Linked DNA regions of Danio rerio. The main gene of each other region encodes a partner of the protein of the gene in region 5 in a complex. Links are inferred from orthologs where the notes say so. Each region holds a gene or a part of one and is shown on either strand. Other genes may lie near its edges.

Region 1 (5,434 bases), on a different chromosome or scaffold from region 5:
TTTTGAAATGAAAATCTGGTTGACATCAGAACTCAACTTCAGGCTGACGTCAGTGTCTAACGTCCAACCTAAAATCAACATAACATCAACCAAAAATCAACGTCTAATGATGTTACAGCTTGATGTTGTGTGGACGTTACAAATATGATGTCTATTAAGACGTTGAATTATGGTTGCCATACCTGACGAATAAATGTCAGCATTTGAGGTCAATATGACGTTGGGTTTTGGTCACTTTCTAACACAACCTAAAATCAACCAAATATCAAATCGTTATTGGACATCAAAATAACATTGTCCTTAGATGCTGGCTAGTCAGTGAATTTTGTTCACCTGACATCACTACCTAAATCACACCTAATATTAACGTCTTATGATGTTGTGTACCTGCTGGGCAATAACTAGGCCTACACGGAATCTGCGCGTGCAGAAATCCACAGATTTCCAGGCCATCGATTCTATTTGTATTGTTTTTTAAATGTGTGTGAATTTATATTTATTCAATTTTTAAATTAGTTCAGTAATATTACTTACAATAAAGTTTAAAATATATATTTATTTTAATTTTTTTTACTTATTTAAATTTTATTACTTAAATTTTAGTTACGATCCACCCAAAATCATTCCACATAAATCCGCAGATTTTTTACAATATTCTGCACAGAAATAGCAAAAAATGTCCGCAGTTTCTGTCTGGCCTTGGCTATAACTTAATGCACTACAGAATGTTACGTTTACACACACTCACTAATTACATATAAATGCATCAGCTTTTTAGTGTAATACTTCTGAGTACTTTTGAAAGCTCTACTTTTTACTCATACTTTGAGTAATATTTACATCAGATTCTTTTATTCTACCTGCACTACATTTTTAGGCAAGTAATGGTACTTAGGTATGACTTTTCTGTACTCTTATCCACCACTGGCTATCAGTGATTTTGTTCATAAACTTAAAAAAAAAAAATTCCCAAAGTGGGTCTGGTAATAATGCAATTATTTTAGCTGAGGATACTTTTTTTTTTTTATCTCTTTGTAGTTATTCCTGGTGTGAAGCGTTGAACCAGTAAGACTGAAGCTTTTTTTTTTTAAAGCATACATCTTTGTTTTATTAACAGCTTCAAAAAGTTACATTTACATTGCAGTTGAAAATGAATCGGTCTGTGTTTTGATTGACATGTGATTTACACATTTTGCATCAAGCATCAGTTTTATTATGTGGAATGTCCTGGAGAAAACGCAATGGAAAATTACCTTATAAAGTAGTTTTTATCTATTCAGGCAATCAAATACCACATAATGTTCAAATTAAACATTCTGACCCTTAAAATGTTATTTAATAAGTACCGTAATGGAATTCAACACAAATGTTTTACATTTGTAAATCTTTTTTTTTTTTTTTTTTTTTTTAATTGACCGACACATTTCTTTCACAAGCACAGTTCATGTGTAAATCTGAAACCGAATTCTGACTTCACTAAAAACAGAAAGAGCCATATTCATTCCTCGGCCAATGCAAATACACACACTCTGGACTTGGGACTGTACAAAAATAGCACTTCTCTGCACTGACAATATGTCCACAATGTTTCAGTAATGTTTTAAATAAAGCTGTCCTGGAGCTGAAAATAGATTCACAGGTGTGCAGGAGTTTACACCATGTTGAAATAAACATGAACTAAGCTGACCTGTTTTCATTTTAGTCCATATGACAGTGCAAACATCCATAGAACCAGACTGCAGTCACCGTGGAGGAAATGTTGTGCACAGAGAAATAAAGAATATTGATAATCACAAACTAGTTTCACATCTTCAGTCCTTTCTTCCTCAAGTCCTCTTTGGCTTCTTTTATTTGCGCTTGCAGCTCTTTGGCCGCATCCTCACAGTCATTAAATGTAGCCACACGGTAGCCGACAGTGGCCAGAGAATAACACCCAAACACCACCAGCAGGTACACGGGCATCGGCCATGCAAGCTCTTTATACTGGGGCAGCAAATGCAAATCCAGGAGGTCGAAGGTAACGAGTCCCCATGCAATGCCAATCAGAGACACCGCAAGAAGCCACTGCAGAAGCTTGGTCATGGTTTGGGGGATTGCGAGATGATTGAAGACACAGATAATCCACCTTTGAGGATAAATAGGAGAATATAATGTTAGAAATGAGGTGAAGTTGGTTTAGTATTCGCACACTTGTTAATTTATTTATTTATTTTTTTAACAGTGAAATGGTAATTATATTGTTTACCACGCTACTTTAAATATTTAGTCTTAGTGTGCGAATTATACATTGACTTTATCAGTAATGTTTGTGTAATACATGCTTCAGTGAATCAAATTCACGTATTTATTTAAATTACACCTAATTTATTCAAAAATGTATATATTATATTGAATTATAAATAAGTGTATTTCAGTTTTCAGTGTTTTATTGGAAAGGCTGTTTAGTGTATTCTGACAGGCTAGCCATTTCAACTTATCTTAGGTCAAACTTTACAAACTATGCATCTAATTTGAGTTTGCTTTTAGGCTACATGTAGAAACAAACCCCTATTTTATAAGAAAACAGCCTTGCTAATTCTTACGGTGTCTATCGGTGCTCTGAATCTGCCAGTTTCATACTGTTGAATGACTTTTTTTCTCGCGTAGACTGACGGGCACAATTATGCATTCACAATGGTATGAACCTTTATAGGGGTGGTCATATGGATGTCTACTATTTTAATTATTAACATTATTACTTAAAATACAGATCAGAGTGAACTTTCAGTTTTAAAACGCTGACCCATCAATACATCTTGTTTGGACGTCCTTCAAGAGGGATCCAGCCTTAATTAGAGGGTTAATACTTCCCAAACTCCCCATGTAATTCGCAACCTGTTTGGTCAGAAATCTTATGCAAGTATGACTTCAAAACAACATCAGCTCTATTTAATTGACTGTGAAAATTGTTTTGCTTTGATGGTTATTGGCTGCTAATATGATTACACCATTTGAATTGGCAAAGAATACTATTTTGAAGTAATATTATTAAGCATGAAGTCTGATTGAGCGAATATATAAAAACTTTACCTCAATAAGGTTAGGCTGTTATATTTCACTTAATTGTATTTAAATGACACTGTATGGCTTTTGTGCGTTCCATATAAATATTTAGTTAAAACATGAGTATAGTGCACTTAAAAAATAAGAATATTTCTAATAAACAATGCAGAACATTAGATTAAAAGCCTCAAAGCTTCGTTTTTTTGACCAGTGTTTGATACAGACGAAATCAGAAGATCAAGAAACATCATATGTGACTAAAAATTAGAATAAATGCATATACTGCTTTTAAATTCGCTTTAATCCTCACTCGTATTAAAGCTAGCACGATTGCTAATGATTACAGGTGGTTACAATGAAATCTGACAGTCAGCGCTAAACGGAGGAAATCTGTTAACTTGGCGTCAATAATTAGCGACTAAAAATTTATGTTAATAAATGAAACTGGACTTATAATGTAACGTTACTAATAAACTCTCTCTCTTACCTACTATTCAATGCCAGCTCACTGTTTTCGGATTATTGACGCAGGTTGATGACGTAAATGGCGAATAGTATTATGGGAAATGTAGTGCACGTCTTCACGGTTGTTTTTAAAACGGTCTGTGCTTTCAAATGTTTATAGAAACGAGAGATAATTAAATATCTAAGGACCAAAACAGCATTTTTTTAGTATAACTGGAAGTTTGTCTGTTTGTTTAAAACTTAAACAAACCTTTATGAAATACTGATCTCCTAAACCCTGCTGAAAGAGAAGGGGAAATGGGCATTTCGTTTCTTTTTACTCCATTATCTTAAATGTAGGCTTTAGTCTAATATTAGTATATACTGTATCTGCAATATTATTGTGTTAAAGCTTAAGTTTATAGCGCAAAAACAGCATTACATAGGCATAACTGTGTCAGTTAAATCAGTTGACTGTTGAAATTCAATTTTTTTCACCCAACTGTTGAGTTATTAAATCAATAACCCAACAAAGCCAGAGCACCAAATATTTAACATAACTGGTTGAGCTATTAAATAAATAACTTAATAAAGGTTAAAAGTAACCCAGCAATGAACCATAAATGTTTAACTCGACCAGTGGGTTAAAATAAATAACTCAACGTTTTTAGAGTGTATGAGAAAAAATAAAGTAGGATTGAACAGCAATGATTTTTTTTTGTAAATGTAGGCCTACATACAAATGCAGTAATAATTTTGTATATTCGAATCTGAAATTAACCTACAGTACATTTAATTAATTGATCTGATTCCGCTTTTTAAATTGAGTTAAAATATATAAGATCCACTGAACCTTTTCCTCAATTGAGAGATTTAGGTTTTTTTATCTGTGATGCTGGCAGGAAATGAAACGCCCGCGCTCCATCAGTCTGAAGCTGTTTTCTCTGTCTCTGTCCTGCTGGCAGTGGTGGACAGTGCTGTGTTTTGGATGCCGCGGGCGAACATCCGCCCATTGAGCACGTCCGTGACCCATCACACCTCCTCACCCGCCGAGAGGGTATAAACATCACTCAGACAGCGCTGAGATCACTGTGAGGTTATTCTTAGTGGTGTTTACACTTGTCAGCGACTGCCTCTTTCAGTACAGAGAACGGCTGTAAAAGAGAAGTGTAGCAAGTGTGGCATGTGTGTGGGACTATCTATCTATCTATCTATCTATCTATCTATCTATCTATCTATCTATCTATCTATCTATCTATCTATCTGTGATTGCTGTAATTCTCTTCATAATCAGTGTGATTTTCTTCTGCCGGGGTGTTTGCGTAGGAGTGTGCGTTCAGTGAACAGAACATACACGAAGCGCAGTGGGAAAAAAGCAAGTTGGCCGTTCACAGTGTTTGAGACTGCCAGTCCCTGCTCTCCAGCTCAGGAAACCTGTGATCCAGCAGAGAGCAGTTGGCAGACACAACAGAACAGGCTGCACTGAGATAGAGGGGGTGATGGAGCAGAACAACACCCACAACTTAAAGAACGAGACCAGAACATGAAGGTCAAAAGGGAAATAGAATGATTTGGAGCTGGCACATGTTGACTTTTTTGAAAATCGGCTCATTTTACTATTTCCCTAAACAGTTAAAACAATTGAGTTTTACCATTTTTGCATTTATTCAGCTGATCTCCATGTCTTACAAAAGCACCTTTATCTTAGTTCAGCATCGATCATTGAGTCGGATTAGACCATTAGCATCTTGTTCAAAGACAAGTGAGTTCTTATTCTTATTTAAAGCTTGACACTTCTCTAGTTACATTATGCATTAAGATTGACAGAAAATGAAAAGTTGCTATTATGTAGGCCCAGTGATTGGGGGTAACACATTACAATACAAGTTACGTAATAAATATACTTTTCTAAGTAACGAGTAAGTAGCGTATTACTTTTAAAAAATTA
Region 2 (5,521 bases), on a different chromosome or scaffold from region 5:
CGGTATCAGTGCTGACCGACTCGGTCAGAGTCTTTAAAACTGGTGAAAACCCAAAAGTAAATGCTAGGAAGACAGCAGCGCTCTGCAGGTCCGCAAGACGCGTCCGTTTGCCATCACTGGCTCCTCCCAGGACCTCATAGAGCCCGTATCCAAACAGAGCGCAGCCTAGGCAGACGCATAACACGGCAGACGGCTCCAGCTCACCCTGCTCCATGTAGGACCACAGTGTGAGAAAGAGGGCCACGCAGGACACCTGCTGGGCGATAAGGCCTGTCTCGCGAACCACAGCCCAGTAGCGGTACTGGCGGACGCGGATGTTCCGCCGCAGCTCCTCCAGGAAACGCCGGTCCACATAGTTGTCTGGGAAAGGCTGCCGTTCATAGAGCACTTTCCTCCACGGGACGGCCGAAGGAGCCCCTGGACCGCTGTCTGCTCCCATCGCCTGTCCAAATCAGAGAACACAGTGGCTGAACATTAGCTATGCATGATATTGGGAAAAAATGTGACATTGCTCATTTTTAGTTTTGCTGCCACATTAGGAATTCTCTATTGAACATGACATGTTTTTATCTAGGAATAATGTTTCTAAAGGAGCTGTTGACATGAGATTGATCCTGATTTTGGTAAAAACTCAAACAATACAAATATTAAAATAGAATAAAATAAAACACATCTGAAAAATAAGTGATGTGTAATAACAATGGAATGACACAAGGAGAAGTGTTGAACTACTGAAATACTTCATATAAAAAGCTTTTTTTGATGATGGCAGCTTAAAGACGCCTCTCATATGGAGAATGAAGTCACATGAATTGCTAAGGTGTGAGTTCTTCAGAGACTTCAACACTGTGTAAAAATCTTAATGGTTATGTGAGTCCCATCTTTCAAATCTGATCTTTAATTTGTATTTTTTATTGGGTTCAAGTCAGGTGATTGGCTGGGCCATTCTACAGCTTGATTTTCTTTCTCTTTTCTTAGCTGTGTTTTGAATCATTGTTTTGCTGAAATTTCCGCTATGGTTTCCTTTTTATCATCCTGCTAATGTAGATGTTGGACTGAAGCAGCTGATATTAATTTACAATGGCGAAGAAAAGGGGGTTGCTGAAGAACTACTGAGAGATTTCAGCTGCTGTCTGGGCTTTTATTGTCATTCTGCACCTCTCTATCTTCATGTGTTTAATATTTTTTCCCTGCTTCATTTTTTTTATTACACATAACTTTATTTGTAAAATAATTAGATTTGTTGTCTTTGCATACTTAGATTTTTTTGATTGTTTTAAACATCTGGGAAATATTTTAAGTCAACAGCGCCTTTAGTAATATGTTTTCTGAAAAGAAAAGGTGATGTGTGGAATACTTATTTCCCCCACTGTTTTGTGACACGAATATAGTTTCACCAGATGAATCGAATACTTCTATTTGGAAAGATTTCATTAATTTAGATCGACTGATTGATCAAGTGTTTTTCTTTTATTTATTATTTTATTGCTTTGATGATGCAATTAACCCTTTGCAGGTAGTTTGATTGACAGGCAATCCAGCCAATAATACTGCTGATATCCTGCGATGATCTTGTATAACTTTCTGCATTGTTGTCAAACAGGCATCATGGTAGAGTAACATTTTACAATACAATGGTGAAAATAATCTCATATGGGACTCCAAATGGTACTCAGGTACACAGAAAATTATTTTCTATGCAGTGAGTTTGCATAAATCATAATGCATTACGAGCATTCATTCATTTTCCTTGGGCTCAAGCTGCAGTCACACTAGAGTTTGTGTGTGCAAAATTCTGTCGTATGGCGATGCGAAAAGGGGCGGGATTAAACAGAATTATTACTATTAAGCATTAAAAAAAGCGAGCGATTGCTCCGTGTTTTCAATTTCTTTTCTTTTTTTCTTCAATTTCAATTTTAGGCCAGTTAAGAAACCAATATTACCGAATATTACCAAAATATTACCAAATATAAGAAACCAATATTAATAACCTAGGTTGTTAATCACAACAATGGAAAATGTTCACAACAATGGTGGGGTGGGCTCTAAAATGACAATACTCAGATTTTAAATTTGGAATAAATGTTATAAGAAAACAATATTTTATATTAATATTTTAAACAATTTGTAAATTCAGTACATCCAGAGAAACTGAGAAATTTTCATTGGTCTTTAAGTACACTTAATTTTTTTTTTATTGTCAACATTTACTCCCCCTTCACTTGTTTAAACCCTGTTTGGGTTTCTTTCTTCTGCTGAGCACAAAAGTAGATGTTTTGAAGAATGCTGGTAATACGTATGGGTTGATAACCGTATTCAAGGTATACCACGGTTTGGAAAAATCAAGGTTTTAAATTTTTTTTTTTTGCTATACCGTTCCAATGGTTTATGTAGGTTTGTTTGTTTTTATGTTTTTAGGACATAAGTATCTCCAGCAGAAGATATCCTAAAATGCCATTTTTAAATTATAAATAAATCAGTGTTTTTGAAGCTAATCAAGAGGGAGGAAGTCAAAGATTGATTTAAATTATTTAGCCTGACATGTTTATTGTTACAAAATATTTTTAAAAGTTTGTCAAAATAAAATATATTGTGTTCAAAGGTAGAAAAAAGTTTGTTGTTTATCCAGACGATTAAAAAGAATTTATTTTAGAGCAGTAATAGCAATACCGTGATATTTTCATCCAAGGTTATCATACATCACAATCTTAAACCAGCCTATCGTCACCTTAGAATAATAAGGTTTTATCTGCATTCTGAATGATTTTAAAATATTGAGCTTCAAAGTTTTTGCATTGCATAGCAAACAGTATGTGTGTAACATTTGTTTTTTAAATAAAAAATCTTAAAATGTAAACAACTTATAAAAAAACATCGCATAATGTAAATAAGTTGTCATTTAGTAAGAATATGTCAATAACTCAGTTTTGACAAAAATGTCAAATAGAACCTTATAAGGTGACGCCATGTCTAGCTGATACCTGGCACCCTTTGACTTCAATAGCAATTGCTTTGCCTTTGTAAGTAGATGGGTCCCAGCATCCATCATTCATCAAAGTATCTTCTTTATGTTCGACAGAAGAAAGAAACTCATAAAGGTTTAAAACCAATTAGAGGGGCCAGTTAGATTTTTGCGTGAACTACACCCTGTTCTCCACATATCATGTATTTGCTTCATAGTTTATATATAAAGAAAAACATTAAACACCACAAAACTTTAAGCAGCATTGTTTATCTTTGTGTAAGTAAAACGTGCATTTAATCAATCTATTATTATCCTAAATGTCAAGCGGTATCTGACTGACAGCTTCTCACGTCAATCTGATTCATACAGAATGAATCAATCATACAGTCATACAGTAAGCCAGCTGGCGACAGTGTATAAATACAGACAAAATATATTATTTCATATCAAACTTATACAGAATAATGTTCAAGATAAATCTAAAATCTTACCGAATGAGCAGGGTTTCCTGTATTTAGCCGCAGCTGTCAAGCCATCATACATCCGGAAGTGACGTACCAAAAAACAAAAACAAAAGCGCAACCGTGGTATTGACTGAAGAGCGCCACCTGACGACTGTTCCTCACAACCGCCGACGAGTGAAAAGTGAGATGCATATACATTTAATATTTATATAGTCTATGGGTAATCCTCTCTTGATTAATTTGTAACAGCATATGACTAAAATTTAAATAAAAAAACAGTGTTTAGTAATTTGAGTTATTGTTACATTTGTTTGACCCTCATTAGTGGATAATCATATTTGGAGTCCGTCTGCACACAAACAATTTATTTTCATTCATTTTAGTTACTAATATTACACTAATACTTCAGTATTAGAGTATTTAAAATAATTTGACTCAAACAATATTGTATAACACAGGGCTTCTTTCATTTGTAGCGGACTCCTCAAATGTGATTGATTTTATTTTATTCTACAATTATTTTTTTTCATTCATGAGGAAAAAGTGTCGTTTTGGATGTGACATGTCTCCATAATGGATGTGACAGATGTACAATTGCCACTTGTGTGACTTTGGTAAATTAAATACAGTAGTTTGAAAAAATTGACAGAGACATTTATTTATTTATTATTGAATTATTTTTAGTTTAGCACTTTAATACTGAGTAAAACAGCTTATTGGCTTTAAAATGAAGGATTTATTTCATACAGTTGTAATAAAAGTCCATCAACGAACGTATAGAAACACCAAGCTAAGATTCATTCATTCAGATGTAAAAAAAAAAAGCATCAAACCTATTCACAATCAACATGTAGTTCTAGATATTGGCCAGAAGGTGGTGATATGAGATCAGAAATTCAACGAGAAAAGATCAGTAACTAAAATAATGTAATATATATATATATCATCCTTTATATTAAGTCAATAATAATAATAATAGTAATAATAATTGTTTCTATATTTTATAATTGTGCAGAGTCAGATCAAGGGCTGCACAGTGGCGTAGTGGGTAGCACGTTCACCTCACAGTAAGAAGGTAGCTGGTTCAAGCCATATGGTCCAATTGGCATTTCTTGCATGTTCTCCCCGTGTTTGCATGGGTTACAGCAGTACAGGTGAATTAGCTAAGCTAAATTGTCCATATGTGTGTGAATGAGTATGTATGGATGTTTCCCAGTGATGGGTTGCAGCTGGAAGGGCATCTGCTGCATAGAACATATCCTGAATAAGTTGGTGGTTCATTCTGCTGTGGTGACCCCAAATTCATAAAGGGACTGAGCTGAAAAGAAAATGAATGAATGAATGAATGAATGAATGAATGAATGAGAGTCAGATCAAGTTAAAGGCTATGAACTAACTTGAGCAACTATGATGAAGCCACTATTACATTGGAAGCACAAAACAGTCTGACCAATAGACAAACAGAAAAGCACAGAGCAGAGCAGAAAGAGCAGCAGATCCTAGAGGACAGACACTCTCAGAGGAAAAGTGTTGTTGTAGAAACACAGAAATAGACCAGAGAGAGAGAGAAATCATTTTTTTTTACCATACTTAAATAAATCAACTTACTTGTAGGCATGGGCCGGTATAAGATTCTGACGGTGTAATAACCTTGGATATAAATAGCACAGTTTTACTGTTTCATGGTATTCTGCTCAATGCTCTAAAATCTGTTCTTTTTAAATGTCTGGGTAAAAAACAAGAACTTTTTTCCCATTTGAACACAATATATTTTCATTTGAGAAACATTTACAATATTTTGGAGCAGTAAACATGACGGGCTGAATAATTCAAGTCAATCATTGACTTTTGCTGTCTTCATTAGTTTCAACAACAGACTTCTTCACAATTAAAAACAGCATCTATGTATGAGAGATGGAGATACTGTTGTCCTAAAAACAAAACAAACAAAAAAAAAATGCAAATAAAAAATCTTACACATACCTTTGTAGAGCTGAGCGATATGGCAAAAATGTCATCTCGAAAATCATTTTCCATATTGAACGATAACAATATATTTTTAAGTTGTTAATGCTTTAAGATTTTAAAAGAG
Region 3 (3,244 bases), on a different chromosome or scaffold from region 5:
ATCATTGGAAGCCAAAATCAAAATTTATTTCGATTAATTGGGTAGCTGTTGTCCAGGGGTGCCCAATCCTATTCTTGGAGATCTGCCTTTCTGGAGAGTTCAGTGCCAACCCTGATCAAAATCAACTAAACCGACTAAGTAGGATCTGAAGAAGCACTTGGTAGTTAAAGAAGGTGTGTTTAATCAAGATTGCAGCAGAACTCTGCAGGAAGGTAGATCTCCAGGAACAGGATTGGGAAACTCTACCCTAGTCTGTGGCCCAATTTCTGTAAACTAGATAAAGGTACATACAAGTATAAATGCACAAGTGTTGGTTTAAAAAATAAGGACAAACACAATTTGAGCTTGTACACTTTCAACTTTTTTTTATTTATTATTGTGGTCAAACGCATTAAAGCAGCCATTAACACAGCTGTTATAGGGTATGCGGACAGAAAGCGCAATAAAACAAGTCATTCATGCTTCTCTCCGCTGTGTCAAAACATCAAAATACAATAAAAAATCTAGTTTTCACATTCTTTTCATTTTCTTGCTCTTCCACCTGCACAAAAGCTGTAGAACATTGGTTAGTTCATTCAGAAGTACTTGCAATAGTGATGTAGAAAGTGTCTGTAAGGAAAGGTCGTAGTGAAATTCACTTACAGCACATGTGGTCACGCAAGCGATGCATCCAAATACTTGTAAATGTCAGTTTGATATGGCAATGTCAACCGACCACTCAGAATAAATAAAAACAGGGCTTAGATTATTCCATGGCACATATACTCTCACATTTTGTGGTACTATATTACTTGGTTGATATAACTTTTTTTTGTTTTAGTCGAGGGGCAAACTTTGTAACACAAGTTCTGCTCAGACCAGGAGCGTCTGATCTTACTGGGAGTTTTAGGTGAGGCATGTTTATAAAGAAATCAGTCTTATTACTTCTCATAAACTGTATTGTCATTATAAATAACGTGTTCTTTGTTTTAGGCTCTATAAGAAAGAGGTTCTGGAAAAACTAGTGGAGCAGTGTGTGTCAAAAGGCTATGTGTTCCAGATGGAGATGATTGTCCGGGCCAGACAACTGGGCTATACAATTGGAGAGGTCAGCACATCTCTTTCCACATTTCCTATGAATGCAGTTATTGCCAGTTATTTAAAAAATGGTTTAGATATATTTGTGTAATACTTGGACTATAGTGGCATTTTGCTCTGGGTAGTTACTGAAACTAACTGCTAGGCCCTGTTCATCGAAAACGTATTTCCCCACTGCCAGCAGGAAATCTAAGGTGATGTAAGCCATGCTGACAGTGACATCAAAATAACAAAGATGTTTCATGATAATGCAGATTATGTCAAGGCTTTTATATCAAAGTTGATATTTGGTCGCATCATATTGGTGTTTGGAAACATCTAGTTTTTAGGATATGAATTGTTAGCTCAATGCTCAACCCCCAATCTGAAGGATCAGGACATACACGCATACACTACAGACAAATTACCTTACCCAATTCACCTACAGCACGTGTTTGGACTGTGGGGGAAACCCACACGAACATGAGGAGAACATGCAAACTCCACTCAGAAATGCCAACTGACTTAGCCGAGACTGAAACTAGCGACCTTGCTGTGAAGTGGCAGCACTAACCACTGTACCACCGTGTTGCCCATATTATGTGAATGTGTATTCAAATTCTCTGCCAGGGTTTACATCACTGTAGCTGCTATTTTGATGGATTACACCCTGATCTAATCCAGGAGCTAATTTAGTCCAATAAAACAGTGTTGTTTAACTTAAATCATTCCCAGTTCCTACAGTGCGAACACTCCAGAAACCATGTTATGGTTCTAGGAACTGTGAAAAAGTGTAAAAGCCTCTTATTTTGTAAGCTGGAAATTATGAGTCACTGTACTATATTTAATACAAACACTTTTGTTTTTCATTCTGTTTCATAGTAGCAGAATGGTTTATTTGATCGATTTCTTAACGTAGCTTTTTTTTTTTTTTTTTGTCTGTTATTCAGGTTCCCATTTCATTTGTGGACCGTGTTTATGGAGAGTCCAAATTAGGTGGAAATGAAATCGTCTCCTTCCTGAAAGGACTGCTCACTCTTTTTGCCACTACATGACCTTTGACCTATTTGGTTGCATTTAGTGTTGTGATGTATGATCAGCGCTTATTATCACTGCAGTGGAGCGAGAAGCTAGAATAATTACTTGATTACCAAGTAATGAGGTCATTATGCTTGGATTTACCACGTTCCTTCTACTTAGTTTTGTTAATTACTAGGCAATGTTTAGAAATGTACATTCAAATGTTCTGAATTGTAATAAAAGGACCAAACTGAGAGCTAGTTTTTGAAGTACTAACACTTATTTCATATGAACTATGTTTTTAGGCTATAAAAAGCATCATTGTGGTTCTATTAAGAAATGAACTCATCCCTACAAACTGGATTCATTCAATGACTGAAATGTTCTTCTCAAAATGCTTCTCAAACTGAATTTCTGTGAAAACCCTTTAAATATTCATTTGAGCATTCACATGTATTGTTTTGTACCTTTACGAATGGCAATAGAGATGTCTTAAAATAAAAAAAATATTGTTCCAAAATCATTTTGGTTATAAAAAGGTATTTTAACCAATTGATATAAAATAATTTATGACAATACTTTGGATTTAAAATGAATCAAATTGATGAGGCTGAATTATAAAATAGGTCACTCATCAGTCAATGAAACAGGAAAACAGTATGCCACATCCCATGATCCACTGCCATCAATTTCCGATCTGTCTCCTCCCTCACAGTCAGGATTGCCCATTCACTTTGGGTTTAGAGTGCCCAAATGACACCCCAAACTAGTAGAACACACATAGGGTGAGTGTGCTACATCCACCACCAGGAGGGGAATAACTCCAGGGCTCAGGGGTGGGGGAATCACCATGGCTTCAGAGTCTGCAACCCCAGCTCTTGACATGCAGAAGTAGTCCCGGTGAGTTGCGCAGGAGCGCGGTACAGCGCCACCACCCGAACTCATGCTGCTCCAACGCTGGAGGTACTGAGGCACTGTATACATCCGACTCTCTGCGGGGGTAGATACCAGATGCAGAATTGACGCATACGCTTCTATCCAATCAACTCACAGCCGATAGCGCCCCCTATGGCCTCATAGCATGTAACTGCACCCAGGGGCTGTTTACACCAATTTCAGGAGCATTTAATAAAACGCTATATGCGTGCACACACACACTTGTGCACTT
Region 4 (5,506 bases), on a different chromosome or scaffold from region 5:
AATCAATTTACGTATAGCGCATGTGTTTGGACTGTGGGGGAAACCGGAGCACCCGGAGGAAACCCACGCCCAGCCAAAACTCAAACCAGTGACCTTGTTGCTGTGAAACGACAGTGCTAACCACTGATCCACTGTGTCATTATTATCATTATTTATTATTATTATTATTATTATTATTATTATTATTATTATTATTATTGTTGTTGTTGTTGTTATTATCATAGTCATACAACGTCATTGGGAACCAAACCCATGTTTGATACCACTATTCTTCAAAATATCTTCTTATGTGTCCCTCAAAAGTAAGAAAATATAATGCTGAATTTACATTTATGGTTTGACTCTCCGTTAGAAAAGCTATTTGAACGGTTAAATATTAATTTGTATCGGGCTTGATTCGACGTCTAACTTGTCGCAGTTAATTTAACTTAATTTGGATTGTGTAAAAACTTTGAAGTTTAGGCATTAGGACACAAAGAGACACCTTAATGGCTATGAGTTCAAAGCTTTTGTAAGTCTGTGATTTTTTTTATTTATTATTATCCCTTCCTGATATTATAATTTAAGACCAGTCTGTCCAACCTCCGAATCGTCAATATTTGCTATATTTTATCACTTTAAAACTCAGGGTTATATTAATGTGACTATAGCGCCATCTTCTGGTAGCCACACAATTTTTTTTACATCCTTAATTCAGGTTGATCCAAGTATGTCCAAGAATACCGGAGGGAGATGTTTTATTTTTATTTATTTATTGTTTATTAATATTTTATTCTTGCAAGAATAAGAAGACGTTTATTTCATTTGGCAAATATGGTTAACCTACAAATCACGGTTACACCTGCCTATAAAGTTATTTTTGTTGTTTTATTTTGTGTCCCAAAAATAAACATTATGATTAAATTTATTATTTTAAATAGGCAAATTAACATTTGTAAAATAATAAAGCCACAGCCTTCTCTACAGCCTTTGTTCTTCTTTTTTTTTCTTCCATCAGTTCCCTCCTAAATGTAAGTGTTATCATGTGAGAGAAGCTGTTATCAAGAAAGAAAAGCTGGTTTTGTGGGGCCCCTTTGTCTTGAATGTTAAGATAGCTAACGTTTCATTTAGGAAAAGTCTCATTTAGACACATTCACAGATCAGAGGTTCATGTAAGTACACTCTTCTACGCTTAGGTTTTATGGCTCATGTCATGCAGTCCTAACTCTGCTAAGTGCTTTAATGATCAAAAATATTATTATTTGAAAATAATCTCTGAAAAAGCATGAAAAAACAGTGCTTTTTGCCTTAAAGAATATTTCACGTTTTTTGTTAAGAAAACATACTAAATATATCCTGCTTTAAAGTGTACTTTTCATTGCATATTTGTTTCTGTAGATTTCATTATCCAATATCTGCAACATTTTATTGAATAATGTTTTGGGAAAAATTTTTAATCTTCCTTTTGCAAATTAGTACACGTTTAATTCATCATATATATACACAAACATCAAATATATACACAAATTCATGCATAAATAAAACAATAAATATATAAATATGGAAATCAATCAATAAATAAATGAATAAATACACAAATTCCTGCGTAATTTAACAAAACATGCATCTTTTGTTTTTTTTTAACAAAAAAAAATGCTCAAATAAATAAATAAATAAATGTGAATATAAATCTACAAATTCCTGCAAAAATAAAACAATTATTAAATACTCAAATAAATGTATATATAAATCTACAATTTTCTGCAAAAATAAATATATAAATAATTAATAGTGTGGTGTAAAAGAGGGGAAATCTACTTTCAGTTTAGCATTTTCTTATTTTCCCAACATCCATGTAACTTATTTAGTTATTAATCTGCCCGCACTATATTTCTTTATGCAGGAATTTGTGGGTTTTTAATATATATTTATTTGCATATTTATTTATTGTTTTATTTATGCGGAAATTTGTGGATTTATTAATTAATTCTTTTATTTATTTGTTTATTTATTTTGTATATTTATTTATTTATTTATTGTTTTTGTCGTCCATATGTATAGTAGCATATTTGGTTATTTCTTTATCTGCTACTATTGCTCATCTGATCTTTTTTTTAAATATAATGATAAATGAATGGAATCATTCATTGGGAAAATTGTTTTTGGCGGAAAAATTGCCATTCAAAACTTACTTGAACTATTTGAGTCGGAACAAAAAAATATCCATTAAGTTCACCCGGCGGAATTTTAACGACGGACTGTAAACAATATGAACGTTACGGTCCGTCTAATCCATTGAAAAACTGGTTTCCAGTTAGTTTAACAAAAGCACGTGCTGGATTATTCAATAGCATATCTATTACAATTGCCCTATGATTTCGCGTTATTTTTTGAGATAATGCCAGCGTTGATTAACGCACTTAGTAACGTTAATTTAATCGTCGCCTCCTACAGAACAACTTCTCAGAATTTCTCGACCTTCAAAATCAACAAGGTAACTTTATAAACACTTAACTAGCAATTACAGCATATAATAGCACGTCCTTGCATTTGTCAATGGTAGTGCCGTGAATAAAATCGATGAGAGTTTTGCCCGAAGCGTGTGGTTGCCATAGAAATGACCGATTTGAAGGGCACAGCTATATAGCTGTCCTCGTTAGATGTGTGTGCTGCTAACATACAACACGTTTGTTTGTTTGCTTGTTTTTAACTACTCAGAATGCTGTATTATACGTGCTATAATGTCTAACACATATGGTGCTTTTTGTGTTCTTGTTTCTAGCGTTAAAATAATGCTTTTGTGCCCACACAGGACTGTATATTTCGCTGTTGGTGGACTTTATAGCACACAGACATGGTGCTGAAGATCTTCTTCCCTCAATGCTGCAACACTGCTGACAGTGGCCTGCTGGTCGGGCGCTGGATCCCAGGACACAATTCTGCTGTGGTACTAGCTGTCGTTCACTATCCATTCATACCCGGACAGGTAAAAAAGTACTTGAGTGAGATCCAGAGCCAGACTCAAGTGGATCTTGCCGTGCTGGGTTCCTGGAGTATGCCAAAAGAAGGTCAAGAAGGATTGGACAGCTTCCTCAAAGACCTGAGCACCATCTTTCCTCAGAAATGTTGGCTGCAGTTGAGCCGTGAGATTGGCAAAAGAGGCTTTACATGTCGGGTGGTTCAAAACAATGGGATGCTTCTACAGGACAAAGAGCAGAAGAGTGATGTAGATGGCAGTGAAGAAGATAAGATCATCCTCGTTCATTATGACCAAAGGAAGGTGATGCTGTCGCAGCTTCATCCGGTGCAAGAGGCTGACCAAAAGTCTGAAATCGAGCCGTCAGAGCTGCGCTTGGTCTTCCAAACAGTTGCTCAAAGTCAGCCTCTGTTTTTCCTGGATAAATACGACGACGGGCCGCTGAAACTCACCCACTGGCAGTCTGAAGGGAGGGAGGCTAGTATTATTGCAGAGCTTCTTAAACAAGCATCTGTGCCGGTGTGCATCTGCCTCACGTGGTTGCTTTCTCTTTGGCTTTGGTTTTGCAGCTTTAGGTGAGTTCAAGTGGACCATCTTCTGTCTGTTTTCAGTATTGAAAATGTGTTAATCACATCCTTTCTTGTTTGACAGGATTTTAAATATACCTCCTGTGAAGTTCATTACAAGCAAGCTGTCCACGTGTGTTCAGTCGGGTTACAGGGCCGTTCATTTTAAGACCGTTTTCTCCCCTAAAAAAGCTGATACACACATGGATTTCATGAGGTAGGGGTAGATCCGCAGATTTTAGCCAATCATTGAGTGTATTTATTTACTTGTTTAAATGTGTGTGCATTTATATTTATTCAGTTTTTAAATTCATTTCAGTAGTATGATTGACTAATATTAAAAGGTTCAGATGATTTGTTTACAATAGTTTGTAAGTAATATGTTCTGTCTTTTAGTAGAGATATTATATGAGAGACTTGCTTTGTTTACCAAATCAGTGGATCTAATTGGATTTGCATTGTAAACATTAAATAAAAGTTAAAAAGGTATTCTTTTTCATGTCATATATTAAGTTTTTAGTCACGATACTCCCAAAATCATTTCGCAAAAATTCCCCCCCCTTTTTTTTTTTTTTTTACAAAATTCTGTGCAGAAATTGCAAAAAATGTCTGCAGATTTTGTCTGGCCCTAGGAAGGGGTCAATCACATAAAACGAGTGTTTTCATTTGATAACAAAAGAGAAAAAAACATTAGCATTGACTTTTGCCTTGTGCTTTGTTTATTTGATTTTGAAAAACGTGTAAGTCTGTTAGGGGTGCACAATATATCGTTTTAGCATCAATATCACAATGTGTGTAAGCGCAATAGTCACATCACATAGATATGCAGTGTTGATTTGGGATTATAGTTGAGCCAGTGTCACAGTTCAAAACATGAGATTTGTTGAATCACTGCAGAAATTAAATATAATGGAGTGACATTTATAATTTGCATGTTTTTAAGGCCTAAGAGACATTAAGTATTCAGACACAGGACGTTTTACCAATCGGAAGATTAATTATATTGAATTATTTATACAGTAAAGACTTTGCAGTGTCATTTTTACATTTACAAAACCATAAAGCATGTTTATTTCACTTTTATTTTTACATTATTCACTCTTCTACTAAATCATCCCAATTAATCAAAATTTATACATTCGGTAACATTTTAGGGACCAATTCTCATTATTAACCAGTAGCTTATTAGCATGCATGTTATTGAGATATCGGCTGTTTATTAGTACTTATAAACTACATTTTCTGCATAATCTTATACTTCATCCCTAGTCCTACCAATACCTAATCTACCTTAATAACTATTAATAAGGAGCAAATTAGGAGTTTGAGACAAAAGCCATATAATTAAACCATAAAATAATAATAATAAATTATTTTCAAATAAGTGCTATTCAGTCTTAGGAGAAATTGTATAAATTTCACACTATATATTGCAATATATATTACACTATATATATATTGCAGAAGAACAAAATTTTGCAATGTCAGATTTTTCCAATATCATGCAGATTCTTAATCCCTATTTTAAAAATCAGTTTAATGAAATAAAACACTCTCTGAAGTTAAAAGTATTTTAAAAGTAAATTTCATAACATGTATAAGTAATGATTATTGTTCTCATTAAAACAATTTTAAGTACTCATCAATACTCAAGGTAATTAATCTTGCATTAATAAAAAGGTCAAGTGTCCTGATATTTTAAGAGACTTATTTATTATGACAATTGTTGCATTGTAAATGCTATTCTAAAATAAAAATCTACATTCATTCTTGTAATGAAACATTTTGATCTTAATGTTTAGATTTGTTTTTACTTGTTCTTCAAAATATTATTTAGAATGAAATGCAATATTAGAAATCATTATAAAAATAGCATGTTAATTACTTAAATGTTTAACTTTTTAATTAGATTTTTCAATCAAATATAATCTCTTAACTCTTTCTTTTTTTCACTCCTCTGCAGAAAAGCAAACATCTTTGTGTC
Region 5 (5,293 bases):
AGGAGACAATAGATTACCAGTATAGAGACCTGCAGGGACCATTACAGTTTCCATCAATACAATTCCCATTAAAGCCACTGAAACTATTACAATTTATATCGTTTTGTCATTCAATTCAGCTTTATTTGTATAGCGCTTTTACAATGGATGAATGTGCTTGTCATATTCCCCCTTGTCCAACTCAGAATATTCAGAAAACCAGTTTAAAACTACAACTGGTCATTTTTTATTTAGTAAAGTCTATAAAAAGATCTGTAAGTTGTTCCATTTTGGTCTGTAAATAATTAAGTTACATTAGAAGCACAAATATAGGCTGGTACAGTTGTAACTTTTTGTTTACCTTTCTATATCCTTGAGATATTTTAAGCCAGTGTGTTCAAAATGTGATTCAAACTAGCTACAAGTGTCAGCTTTTAAATGGCCTACATGTTATCTTTGTAGCACAAACAGAAAATGCACAGTTACGTTTCAAGCATCCAATTGTAACAGGATATTCACTGGGGTGACATGTAACATTATAAATCAGAATTATGACAAAAAAGGACTCAGCTCCGAGTATAATCTGTGTTTGTCTCTGTTACAAAGATGAATAAAATGTTTAAATGTGCATCAGTTTAACAATTATATAGGACTGTTTGTGTGTGCAGGCTTCATGAGCACACAGAGCACAGGTGAAATTAAATATATAGACACAGCTAAATTTGCTTGGGGTTGTTGGTAACATTTCACCAAGTTTTTTGTTCCAACTGATCCAGAGTGTTGTAGCCAAGGATTTGCATTACTGCTAAAACATTTGCAACAGCATCATGGGTTTAACATATCTCCACAAACACACAATTTAACATTGATGGGTTTAACTAAGTCAGGAATAAAAATATAGGCTAACTGTCTTAGTTCAAATATAGTTTCCCTCCTATAACATGTCCTGTGTCTGACTCTACTGGTTCGTATGTGGAATGAGGATCAATGTGACCTTACTGTATGTGAAGACTGAAGTGAATCAACTGTTTTTTTTTATTCTGGCTGTATCTGCCAACATTTGTCTCCGAAATTCAGATGGAAGTGTTAAACAATGGACCGGGTTTCAAACGGCGGCGGCGGAGATCGGAAACTATACGTATATAGCCTACGTGTGTGTTTGTGCACATCTCCCTGCGATATAGTCTAATGTAATCCAACTGTAGTATTTTGCAGCATCATGATCATGTATGTACCATAAAACCACATGCAAAACTTTTCCTTACAGCGCCACCTACTGGACACTTACACACACTGAGCAGAAAAACACTTCTCAAGCAGAGGGCCGAAATACTAAAATAACAAAACCAAATATATTTATCAGTTTAACTCATTCTCTCAGAATAAGTATTGTATGTGTGTGAATGTGAGTGTGTGGATGTTTCCCAATACTGGGTTGCAGCTGCCTTTATGGTCTTCATTAAAGATGTGGAGAAAGAATTATAGCCAATATAAAGTTGATTTCAGAATCTAATAAGAAAGCTTTAAAAACTGTGAAAATATGCTTTGCTTTTAAGGTCTTCGTGTAAGTAGCCTTAACTCTGATTTGCAAAACAAATTTTTTATGCTAATAAATAATAATGTGAACAATTAATTTAATACTTATAAATATTTAATGTCTTTCCATTTCTCTCTTCTCTTTATTCATTCATTCATTTTCTTGTTGGCTTAGTCCCTTTATTAATCCGGGGTCGCCACAGCGGAATGAACCGCCAACTTATCCAGCATGTTTTTACGCAGCGGATGCCCTACCAGCCGCAACCCATCTCTGGGAAACATCCACACACACACACACACACACAAACACACACACACACACTATGGACACTTAAGCCTACCCAATTCACCTGTACCGCATGTCTTTGGACTGTGGGGGAAACCGGAGCACCCGGAGGAAACCCAGGCGAACGCAGGGGGAACATGCCTTCTCTTTATCTCTTATGTTATTTTTTTCTATTGTTTCATACTGTTCTTTTTGGAGGGTATCTAAACCTGGATCTGTGTTTGTGCGCCCTCGTGTGATGAATAATGAAAAAACCAAGGTGAGTTGTAAACTACAATTCCCAGCACTTCCTTTGCCTGTCGGAAGTACGTACGTTTTACAGCTCATGCGGAAGTGGCACGTTCGTAATGGTAAGATGAAATTAAATGGGTATAAAATTGTTGTTTTGTCCTGTGTATTTATATATTTTGTATATTACAGAACACATTTTAAGACGCCTCGTCGTTCCTAGAGAGTTAACTTACTGTTCAATTTTCTAGTTAATGTGATGCGTCTGGTTCATGAGAGTTTCAGTTTTTAGACATGTTATATAACTTACTTTTTATTTAAAATTATATTTATTCATTACTTGTTCGTTCATAGTTTAAAGACCGCTGCTGAAAGCTAGGCCAATATATACTTTGCTGTGATCCAGAGATCCAGACAGAAAGTCTTTATAAGCTCTATGTATGTACATATGAAGAGTTCAGATGCAAAAACCTCTAACGTTAAGTGCCATCCTAAATTTCCATGGAAAATTTAAAATTTTTACCTACCTCCTTTGTTTATGTTGAGATATTTCACTTTAAAGAACAGGAAAAGGACTTATTCTTTGTCCTAAAGTGATATTACTGAACATACACACTGGAATCTGATAAAAATGCTTATTTTAGAGGAAAAACTCAGATGGCATTTAGAGATATTTGCATCTAAAATCTTCATACATGTTCTTAATTTATGTTAAACTTGAGGTAAAATTATTATTATTATTATTTTTGTTTTGATTGTAAAATACAATTGAAATAACCCCAAATAAGACTTAAGAAATTGTATATTATTTTATTGTATAATTTGTATAAATATTTTATTGAATTACTTATTTTTGCAATTTATATAAAATGTGATGTGTTAATATATGAGCTAAGCCCAAAAACTATTTATCTTAAGGCAACCGGAGCAGATCAAGCTGTTGGCTTTGGACTCGTTGGCTTTAGTCTTTTGCTGTTCACATATTACTCCATTTGGGTGGTAGTCTTGGTAAGTGATCAGTTAAATTCATTTTTACCGGTAGATAAATCATGCACAATGTGTTACTTATTTCCTGTGCTACTAAAACATATGCTGCTAAAAAAAGTGATGGAAACTCTTCTGCTCTTATTCCAGCCTTTCGTAGACAGTGACCATGTGATACACAGCTATTTTCTTCCACGAGAATATTCAGTCATACTTCCTGGCATCGCAGCATTAATCCTCTTGCTCTTTGTTGGTAAGCAGATCAAGTAATAAAACCATAAAAAAATTAACATGACATGTTCATGCTGTAAATTTTGATTAAAATATGGTCATTTTAAGCATTTATGCCTCAGTGAGGAAAGCGAAAAACAAAATCCTTCTTTAATAAAAATAATAATTTATAGTAATAATACATTTTATTTGTATAGCACTTTTCCAGCATAACATACAACTCAAAAGTGCTTCACAAACATGAACAAATAGTAAAAGCAACATCAACGTGGGGAGCTAAAATATAGAAACAGATAAGCAAAATTTAAATTGCAAATGTTGAGAATAAAAATTATTTATCAGAAAATTATTATTACAATCAATAGTTTTGAAATATTTAAACCGGATGATTAAACTTTTACTTTAACATAATAATTGTGTTAATTAAATTTATGTGAACATAATTCTGTCAAAATAGTTTTTCTTGCATTTTCTTGAACGCTGCAAATAGATTTACTAAATGATTTTAAACATTGTTCACTTTTAGCATGTTTGCACAGCTAACCTTAAAATTAAAAGCTTTTCATGTTTTCCTCTGTATTTAATAATCAAATGTTCTACTTCTCTTTAAGGCACATTCATAGGGATCGTAACATGGAAGAATCGAAAACCTAAGAAAGTTGATTAAGACTCTCCAGGTTGTTGTGATTCGTACTGCAGCAAGAATGATCAGCGTTGGTTTTACTCATCCATGTGAAGAGGATGAACTTCTGGAATCCAGTCATTTGTCATGTTCAGGTGCTGTAGTTGTTAAAATGAACATCAAAATAGAGTTAACTAATTCACCAAAGCCGTACTGAACATGTACACAATAATAGTCTACCTGAGCTTTGTACATCTAGTAGCTACAACATTGACTCAAGACCATGCTAGTAGTGCAATGATTTAGGGAATTAGCGTGAATAATACATAAGATGATAAAATAGGCACATAAGACATGTGTGTAGTTTAGAGCACATCTAAATGAAATATGGGAGTAATGTTTCATTGTTCTTGTACTATGCTTTAAGTCTGTGTGTTTCAGCTGTTCTCTTGTTTTGTAAATAGACATATTTATGAGGTAGAGTGCTTCCTTTTAGCCTCAAATATCAGAAGAAGAGTCTGAAAATAATGGGAAAGGGATTTTTTGCTGTTTCAAACAATTCCTCATTAAATGAACAGAAATATACCTATGTCATGTGTTTTATATGATTTATTTGACATAACACTTCTGCTACTGTAGCTCATCTGTTTTTAGGGTTTGAGGTGATTTTAATATCTCAGCTGTAATGATAGTGGTTGTTACTCTTGTGCTGTGTTACTGCTTACCTTTCTATTGAACCAGTCTGGCTATTCTTTGGCCTCTTGCATTAACAAGTCATTTTTACCCACAGAACGGATGCTCATTAAATATTTTATTATATTATTTTGCTATAAAAGCCCAGTAGGGCGAGGCAGTGGCGCAGTAGGATGTGCTGTCGCCTCAAAGCAAGAAGGTCGCTGGTTCGAACCTCGGCTCAGTTGGCGTTTCTGTGTGGAGTTTGCATGTTCTCCCTGCCTTCGCGTGGGTGCTCCGGTTTCCCCCACAGTCCAAAGACATGCAGTACATGTGAATTGGGTAGGCTAAATTGTCCGTAGTGTATGTGTGTGAATGTGTGTGTGGATGTTTCCCAGAGATGGGTTGCGACTGGAATGGCATCTGCTGCGTAAAAACTTGCTGGATAAGTTGGCGGTTCATTCCGCTGTGGTGACCCCAGATTAATAAAGGGACTAAGCTGACAAAAAAATGAATGAATGAATGAAAAGCCCAGTAGATCGGCAGTTTCTGCAAACAACCTTTTTGACAACAACAACAATCAATGCCAAATGCAAATTCTGTTAAAGAGACATTTCACCCCAAATGAAAAAATACTAGCTTTTATTCTCAGCTTTAAAAATATTATTTTTTTTTCTGTTGAACATAAAAGATCACATTTTAAAGACTGCTGCTATCATAACCATTTTCCATAGTAGGAACCATTCTGTAGAAAT
Region 6 (5,168 bases), on a different chromosome or scaffold from region 5:
GCTCATTATACGTCCAAATATAATAGCGAGGTAACGGAAGCGAACGAACTTGAACGGAAATTTCTCTGAAAGTTACTCAACTACAGCAGAGAGCAACCTAAATGTACAATCAACTACTGACACGCTATATAATACCTCATAGATAATGCATTTAGCGTCCTAAACAATATATCTCACTCGTCTGCTGTGAATTTCATTGGAATTCAAAATGTGATGTCAAATTATGACACTGGCTTAAAATCAAATATTCAATATGAACTATAAATAGATCAGTTGACATCCGTGTAGCACTGGCACTAGGACAGATTGTCGAGCTTTCTAATTGATTTAAAAGTGTTCAAGCGGTCTAAACTGACAATCTACAAGCCATAAGTATCGAAATGTTTGTATTGGCAGACATAAACACTGAGAAAACAGCTACATTCGAGTGTTGTTATCGCCCTGGGCTTTTGTTACTCAAGCTAGCTACGATTAGCATACGTGACTGGGCTGTCTCCTCTAGTTTCAAAGACTAAATACTAGTGGGGTTAGAAAATATGACTTCTGTATCTGAATTAATAATGGTTTAGTATCGTACAGTCCTTAAAGTATGTTCACCCAACAACACACACTGATCAACAGAGCTTTGACCGAACAAAACAAGCTGATTTCGAGCCAGAATCACACCGCAGTTTTCAACAAACGAGCTGCTGAATTCCCTCAAACATCGCACACGACAACGACTCTGTCATAAACACAAAAACAATAAGCCGGTTGATGTGAAGATAACTGTTTTTGCCCACCAGCTTGTAAAATGATTCCCCTCCCCGGTAGATTCGGGTGAATGTTGTTGCCAGGTCAGATCAGCTGATCGGCTTGTTTTCACTGGAGCGGGAGTCAAAGGTTACCGACCGCAGGGGCTGATGGGAAATGCAGTCAGATCTCATACATTTCCTAAAGAATCGATAATGCAATGGGGAGAGGTCATCTGAAAAATATTTCAAAAACAAAATGGTGGTAGAATACAATTTATGGGAATGTACTAGGCAGTTTTTTTATTGTAGGCTACATTTATTTGGTCGATTATTACCTTCACATTGCTGGTGACAAAGACACTAAAATATAAATAAAATAAAATACTTAACATTTTAATTGTTACTCAAGTTAATATAGTCTTACTGCATAATCTAATAACATCAAAACAGTTAGCGTATTTCACATGGCACTCCGGGGGTATCCTGCTGTTCCCAGGCCAGCCGAGAGCCGTCCTGGGTCTTCCCCGAGGCCTCCTCCTGGTGGGACATGCCTGGAACACCTCCCAAGGTAGACGTCCAGGAGGCAGACTTCTCAGCTGACTTCTCTCGATGTGGACAAGCAGCGGCTCTACTCTGAGCTCCTCCCGGGTGTCAGAGCTCCTCACCCTATCCATAAGAGTGCACCCTGCCACCCTTCAAAGGAAACTAATTTTGGCCTCTTGTATATGAGATCTTTTCCTTTCCGTCATGACCCAAATCTCATGACCACTGGTGAGAGTAGGAACGTAGATTGACCGGTAAATCGAGAGCTTTACCTTTCGGCTCAGCTCCTTCTTTACCACAACGGACCGGTACATCGACTGCATTACTGATGACGTTGCATCAATCCACCTGTCAATATCACTTTCCATCCTTCCCTCACTCGTGAACAAAACCCCAAGAAACTTAAACTCCTCTACCTGGGGTAAGAACTTTCCTCCAACCTGGAGGTGCAAATATTACTAATCAAAAATTTTATTATTTACTTGTATTTATTTAAAAAAATATATTTTTGTGAAACATAGCTCAGTAAATAACTTAATGAAAAAGATCATTTAGGCTTTTACAATGTACTTTACAGTGTACTTGTTTTCACTGGAGCGAGAGCTAAATATTTTTGTGCAACTGGTTTTGTGGTCCAGAATGGGAGTTTTCAACCCCAGTCCAGTAGATGGCGAAAACGCACCTGTATGTTATTTTGCCAACGTCACATTATCATAAGAAGAAGATGGTTTTACTGTTGGTGGAAAAATAATAATCTAAGCAAAACTATTTATTCTGAAGTCTTTATTAATGTAATTTTCCGACCGCGAAATAACCAGCAGTGATCGAGATGGCCGACGAAGAGTTCACAGACATAAATGGCAACTGGATTTCTTTAGACTGCCAAACGCACTCTTCTTTCTGCAGAGAGTTTACTGTTACCTCACCCAAACTGTCCTTGCGCAAGGTGATGGTGTACACCTGCTGTGTGTGGTTATTTGCTTATGCTGTGTTCTTCTTCACCCAGGTAAGAACATTTTATCATGCGGACTATGAAGGCCTTGGCGTCTTTTGCTGTTTATTAGACAAAAAATGACTGTTTATTGGACTTTGATTTGACATTGCGCGAAAACGTCTATTATACAGTTGAAAACAAATTTATTAGCCCTCCTTTGAAATTGAACTTTTTTTTACTAAGTTATTTTCCCAAGTTTTCTTTAACGTTTAGAGAAGATTTTATTTAAAAAAAGAATTTAATGATAACATAATTATTTTGTTTTTTGCCATAATGAAATTAAATAATATTTTACAATTTATTTTGCAAAATACTAGTAATATTAATCTAAAAATGCAATTTAAAGGCTTAACTGGGTTATTTAGGGTTAACTAGGTCAAATCATTGGACAACAGTGGTTTGATCTGTAGCCAATATTTAATATTTCTTAAGGGAAAAAAAATACATATTTAAAATGTACGTCCATATAGTGAGGAAACAGAAGTAGTTTACGTTGTCATTTATAGTGCATTTATTACAGCTGCTGAGTGCAGGTTAAAACATTTGATTGTGCATGAGGCTGTATTTGGAGATCAAAATAAGAAAACAATATATAGTTTCTCTGAAAAAAAAAAGCTTCTAAAAAGTGTAAATGAAAAGTATATTTGGAAATACTGTAAATATTTTCCTTGCTCTGTTAAAATATCCATCGGCAATTATTCTAAGAAAAAGGATTTTACAGTAAGGCTGATCATGTGGTCTTCAACTGTATTCAGTGATTTTATCACATGAGCCAAACCATAAAAAATGCTTTCTTTACCCATCACAATATGCAATTTTAAAGAAGATAAAACCAAAATACAGAATATGTTGGTTCAATAAAGTCGTATCCCTCTAAATCCAATACACTCAGTAACCATTTCATTTGGCAGGATTATAGTCGAACAGGAACCCAAATTAATCATGTTTGTGTTTTTAAGGCCTGTGATTGTGTAAGCATGTAAAGCATTCATGCATAATGAAATAATGAAAACTATTTTACATTTGATTACTCAATTTGAGTACCCGAATACTGCTAGAAGGTTGTTGTTTTCATTCATCGCTTTGCTCTACTGTTTTTATCAATACTTTTGATTGATTTATTAAATTTGATGCAGATACACTCCACAAAATCATCATAATCAATGTAAAATTATGTAAATTCTTTCCAAATAGAGCTATTCATTTCATCTGGTGAATTTATTTACAGAATCTCAATGTGTATTGACAAAAAACTAAATACTGCAATATCAGCTTTTTCCCAATATCATACAGCCCTAGTATATATCTCAAAATTCCACTTAGTACTAAGCAAGAAGAACTTATTCAGGAATTTCCAACATGGCTGCGATTGAAAGTTTGATATTATAATAGAATATATGAAATATTTTCGTGAATGTCAAGCAAATGTTCAATATAAATCTAACCTAATTGCTCTTATTGATCTAATATAATTCTCCTTCTGTTTAATATTCAGAACACGGCGGTTCTGTCAAGTGCCATCATCCTCACTTTAGTTGGGATGGTGATTCATATTCACTTTGTGAAGGTGGACCATGAGACCCTTCTCATAATAGGCTCTCTGGGTGTCCAATTGTCCTCGTCTTACGCCTCTGGACGAGAAAGCACGACTTTCATTGAGATGAGCAAGCTGAAAGACATCGTCATAAATGAGGCTGTTTATATGGTAAACACACAGTGACCTTCACGCATGATAGATATCGAGATGTAAAAATAATCAGTGTTTGTGTTTTTGCTCCTCAGCACAACATCATATACTATCTGTGCATTCTCATCAAGGACCCAGCAGATCCTGAGACGGTGACCAGTGTTGTTCCTCTCTTCCAGGTTCAAAACAGCTGTTGTTATTCATTCGCAAAAGCAAGATTATAGGAATTTGTGACATCTCAGTATGTAAATGAACACCTTTGGTTCTTCCTCCAGAGTTCAAAGCCTCGGCTCAATTGTTTGATTCAAGTGTACAAGAGCTGTCAAGAAATTCTAGCACAGAGCAGATGACGCAGAGGTAATGCTTCATGTTTTGCTAGATATTCTGCATGTTTTACATGACTGACATAGTTCTGTGTCTATATATGCTTTATGACTCCATGTTTTTCGATCAGCAGAGGCTTTCTTTGAAGATGAATGAAGATTGGAAAACTCCAGAACGAATCATAAGCACATTGTTGGTAGCTTTTTTGTATTGTCAGTAATACACAATGCATTTTGTTACATGCAGAAGTTTTTAGATAGGCTTCGCATTCAAAAACGTTTGTACATAACAGTATTCTTGCCTCATTTAAAACATTATTTAATGATTAGCCATTTAGTTTTTTAGGATGTGTTCACACTTGTTTTGCATAATTTTGTTAAAAAAAACTGACAACGGAATATTTTCAATATATATTTTAATATGAAGACTTGAATAGATCTATTCAGAAATAATTCATTATTTTAGATTGATTAGGGTGATTATTGTTATTATTATTATTATTATTTTCCATTTTAGGGGAGCACATTTGGATCAAATATAACAAATCACAAGAAAAAATAAGTACAACAGAAAATACAATGGTCTATGGTTCACTGGTGAGACTAACAATACAGAAATAAATATGACACTGAAACAATTACTGTATGGTATAAATATTTAAATACAAGTAATCTTTGTTAAAGCTACAGACATAATTGCTTAAATGCTTTTAACAGGGTGTCCCCGAGGTCTTACAAAGTAATAAAGTGTCTTAAATTTCAAAAAACAAAATTTTAGGCCTTAAGTTTGAAATTCACTGCAATATTGTGCTGCGAGTCTTAAATCATTTTACACAGGTCTTATTTTACTATTTCCATTTAAAGCTACCCTATCGGGCTGACACCCA

What was found.
Region 1: dpm2 (region 5) and dpm3 share a complex: the UniProt entries of both Homo sapiens proteins name them as parts of the dolichol-phosphate mannose (DPM) synthase complex. The link is inferred for Danio rerio from reciprocal best matches to the Homo sapiens genes DPM2 and DPM3.
Region 2: dpm2 (region 5) and pigc share a complex: the UniProt entries of both Homo sapiens proteins name them as parts of the glycosylphosphatidylinositol-N-acetylglucosaminyltransferase (GPI-GnT) complex. The link is inferred for Danio rerio from reciprocal best matches to the Homo sapiens genes DPM2 and PIGC.
Region 3: dpm2 (region 5) and dpm1 share a complex: the UniProt entries of both Homo sapiens proteins name them as parts of the dolichol-phosphate mannose (DPM) synthase complex. The link is inferred for Danio rerio from reciprocal best matches to the Homo sapiens genes DPM2 and DPM1.
Region 4: dpm2 (region 5) and pigq share a complex: the UniProt entries of both Homo sapiens proteins name them as parts of the glycosylphosphatidylinositol-N-acetylglucosaminyltransferase (GPI-GnT) complex. The link is inferred for Danio rerio from reciprocal best matches to the Homo sapiens genes DPM2 and PIGQ.
Region 6: dpm2 (region 5) and pigh share a complex: the UniProt entries of both Homo sapiens proteins name them as parts of the glycosylphosphatidylinositol-N-acetylglucosaminyltransferase (GPI-GnT) complex. The link is inferred for Danio rerio from reciprocal best matches to the Homo sapiens genes DPM2 and PIGH.

The regions. Positions count from the first base shown.
Region 1 is NC_133194.1:9,591,207-9,596,640, forward strand, and holds dpm3 (dolichol-phosphate mannosyltransferase subunit 3), read right to left. Parts: upstream 3,588-5,434; 5' UTR 3,530-3,587; intron 2,126-3,529; 5' UTR 2,083-2,125; coding exon 1,804-2,082; 3' UTR 1,079-1,803; downstream 1-1,078. UniProt on the Homo sapiens protein: Stabilizer subunit of the dolichol-phosphate mannose (DPM) synthase complex; tethers catalytic subunit DPM1 to the endoplasmic reticulum.
Region 2 is NC_133195.1:16,064,426-16,069,946, reverse strand, and holds the start of pigc (phosphatidylinositol N-acetylglucosaminyltransferase subunit C), read right to left. Parts: upstream 3,475-5,521; 5' UTR 3,457-3,474; intron 443-3,456; 5' UTR 440-442; coding exon 1-439. UniProt on the Homo sapiens protein: Part of the glycosylphosphatidylinositol-N-acetylglucosaminyltransferase (GPI-GnT) complex that catalyzes the transfer of N-acetylglucosamine from UDP-N-acetylglucosamine to phosphatidylinositol and participates in the first step of GPI biosynthesis.
Region 3 is NC_133198.1:23,419,893-23,423,136, forward strand, and holds the end of dpm1 (dolichol-phosphate mannosyltransferase subunit 1), read left to right. Parts: intron 1-820; coding exon 821-889; intron 890-972; coding exon 973-1,087; intron 1,088-2,006; coding exon 2,007-2,111; 3' UTR 2,112-2,333; downstream 2,334-3,244. Other genes in the region: adnpb (activity-dependent neuroprotector homeobox b), read left to right, coding at 3,217-3,244. UniProt on the Homo sapiens protein: Transfers mannose from GDP-mannose to dolichol monophosphate to form dolichol phosphate mannose (Dol-P-Man) which is the mannosyl donor in pathways leading to N-glycosylation, glycosyl phosphatidylinositol membrane anchoring, and O-mannosylation of proteins; catalytic subunit of the dolichol-phosphate mannose (DPM) synthase complex.
Region 4 is NC_133178.1:25,542,712-25,548,217, reverse strand, and holds the start of pigq (phosphatidylinositol N-acetylglucosaminyltransferase subunit Q), read left to right. Parts: upstream 1-2,220; 5' UTR 2,221-2,473; intron 2,474-2,602; exon of another isoform or gene 2,603-2,641; intron 2,642-2,791; 5' UTR 2,792-2,833; coding exon 2,834-3,531; intron 3,532-3,607; coding exon 3,608-3,739; intron 3,740-5,485; coding exon 5,486-5,506. UniProt on the Homo sapiens protein: Part of the glycosylphosphatidylinositol-N-acetylglucosaminyltransferase (GPI-GnT) complex that catalyzes the transfer of N-acetylglucosamine from UDP-N-acetylglucosamine to phosphatidylinositol and participates in the first step of GPI biosynthesis.
Region 5 is NC_133180.1:32,330,829-32,336,121, reverse strand, and holds dpm2 (dolichol phosphate-mannose biosynthesis regulatory protein), read left to right. Parts: upstream 1-2,093; 5' UTR 2,094-2,148; coding exon 2,149-2,151; intron 2,152-2,947; coding exon 2,948-3,037; intron 3,038-3,163; coding exon 3,164-3,266; intron 3,267-3,855; coding exon 3,856-3,911; 3' UTR 3,912-4,455; downstream 4,456-5,293. UniProt on the Homo sapiens protein: Regulates the biosynthesis of dolichol phosphate-mannose. Regulatory subunit of the dolichol-phosphate mannose (DPM) synthase complex; essential for the ER localization and stable expression of DPM1.
Region 6 is NC_133195.1:31,131,144-31,136,311, reverse strand, and holds pigh (phosphatidylinositol N-acetylglucosaminyltransferase subunit H), read left to right. Parts: upstream 1-1,988; 5' UTR 1,989-2,106; coding exon 2,107-2,283; intron 2,284-3,766; coding exon 3,767-3,976; intron 3,977-4,053; coding exon 4,054-4,137; intron 4,138-4,233; coding exon 4,234-4,308; 3' UTR 4,309-4,315; intron 4,316-4,412; 3' UTR 4,413-4,827; downstream 4,828-5,168. Other genes in the region: zfyve1 (zinc finger FYVE domain-containing protein 1), read right to left, coding at 1-6. UniProt on the Homo sapiens protein: Part of the glycosylphosphatidylinositol-N-acetylglucosaminyltransferase (GPI-GnT) complex that catalyzes the transfer of N-acetylglucosamine from UDP-N-acetylglucosamine to phosphatidylinositol and participates in the first step of GPI biosynthesis.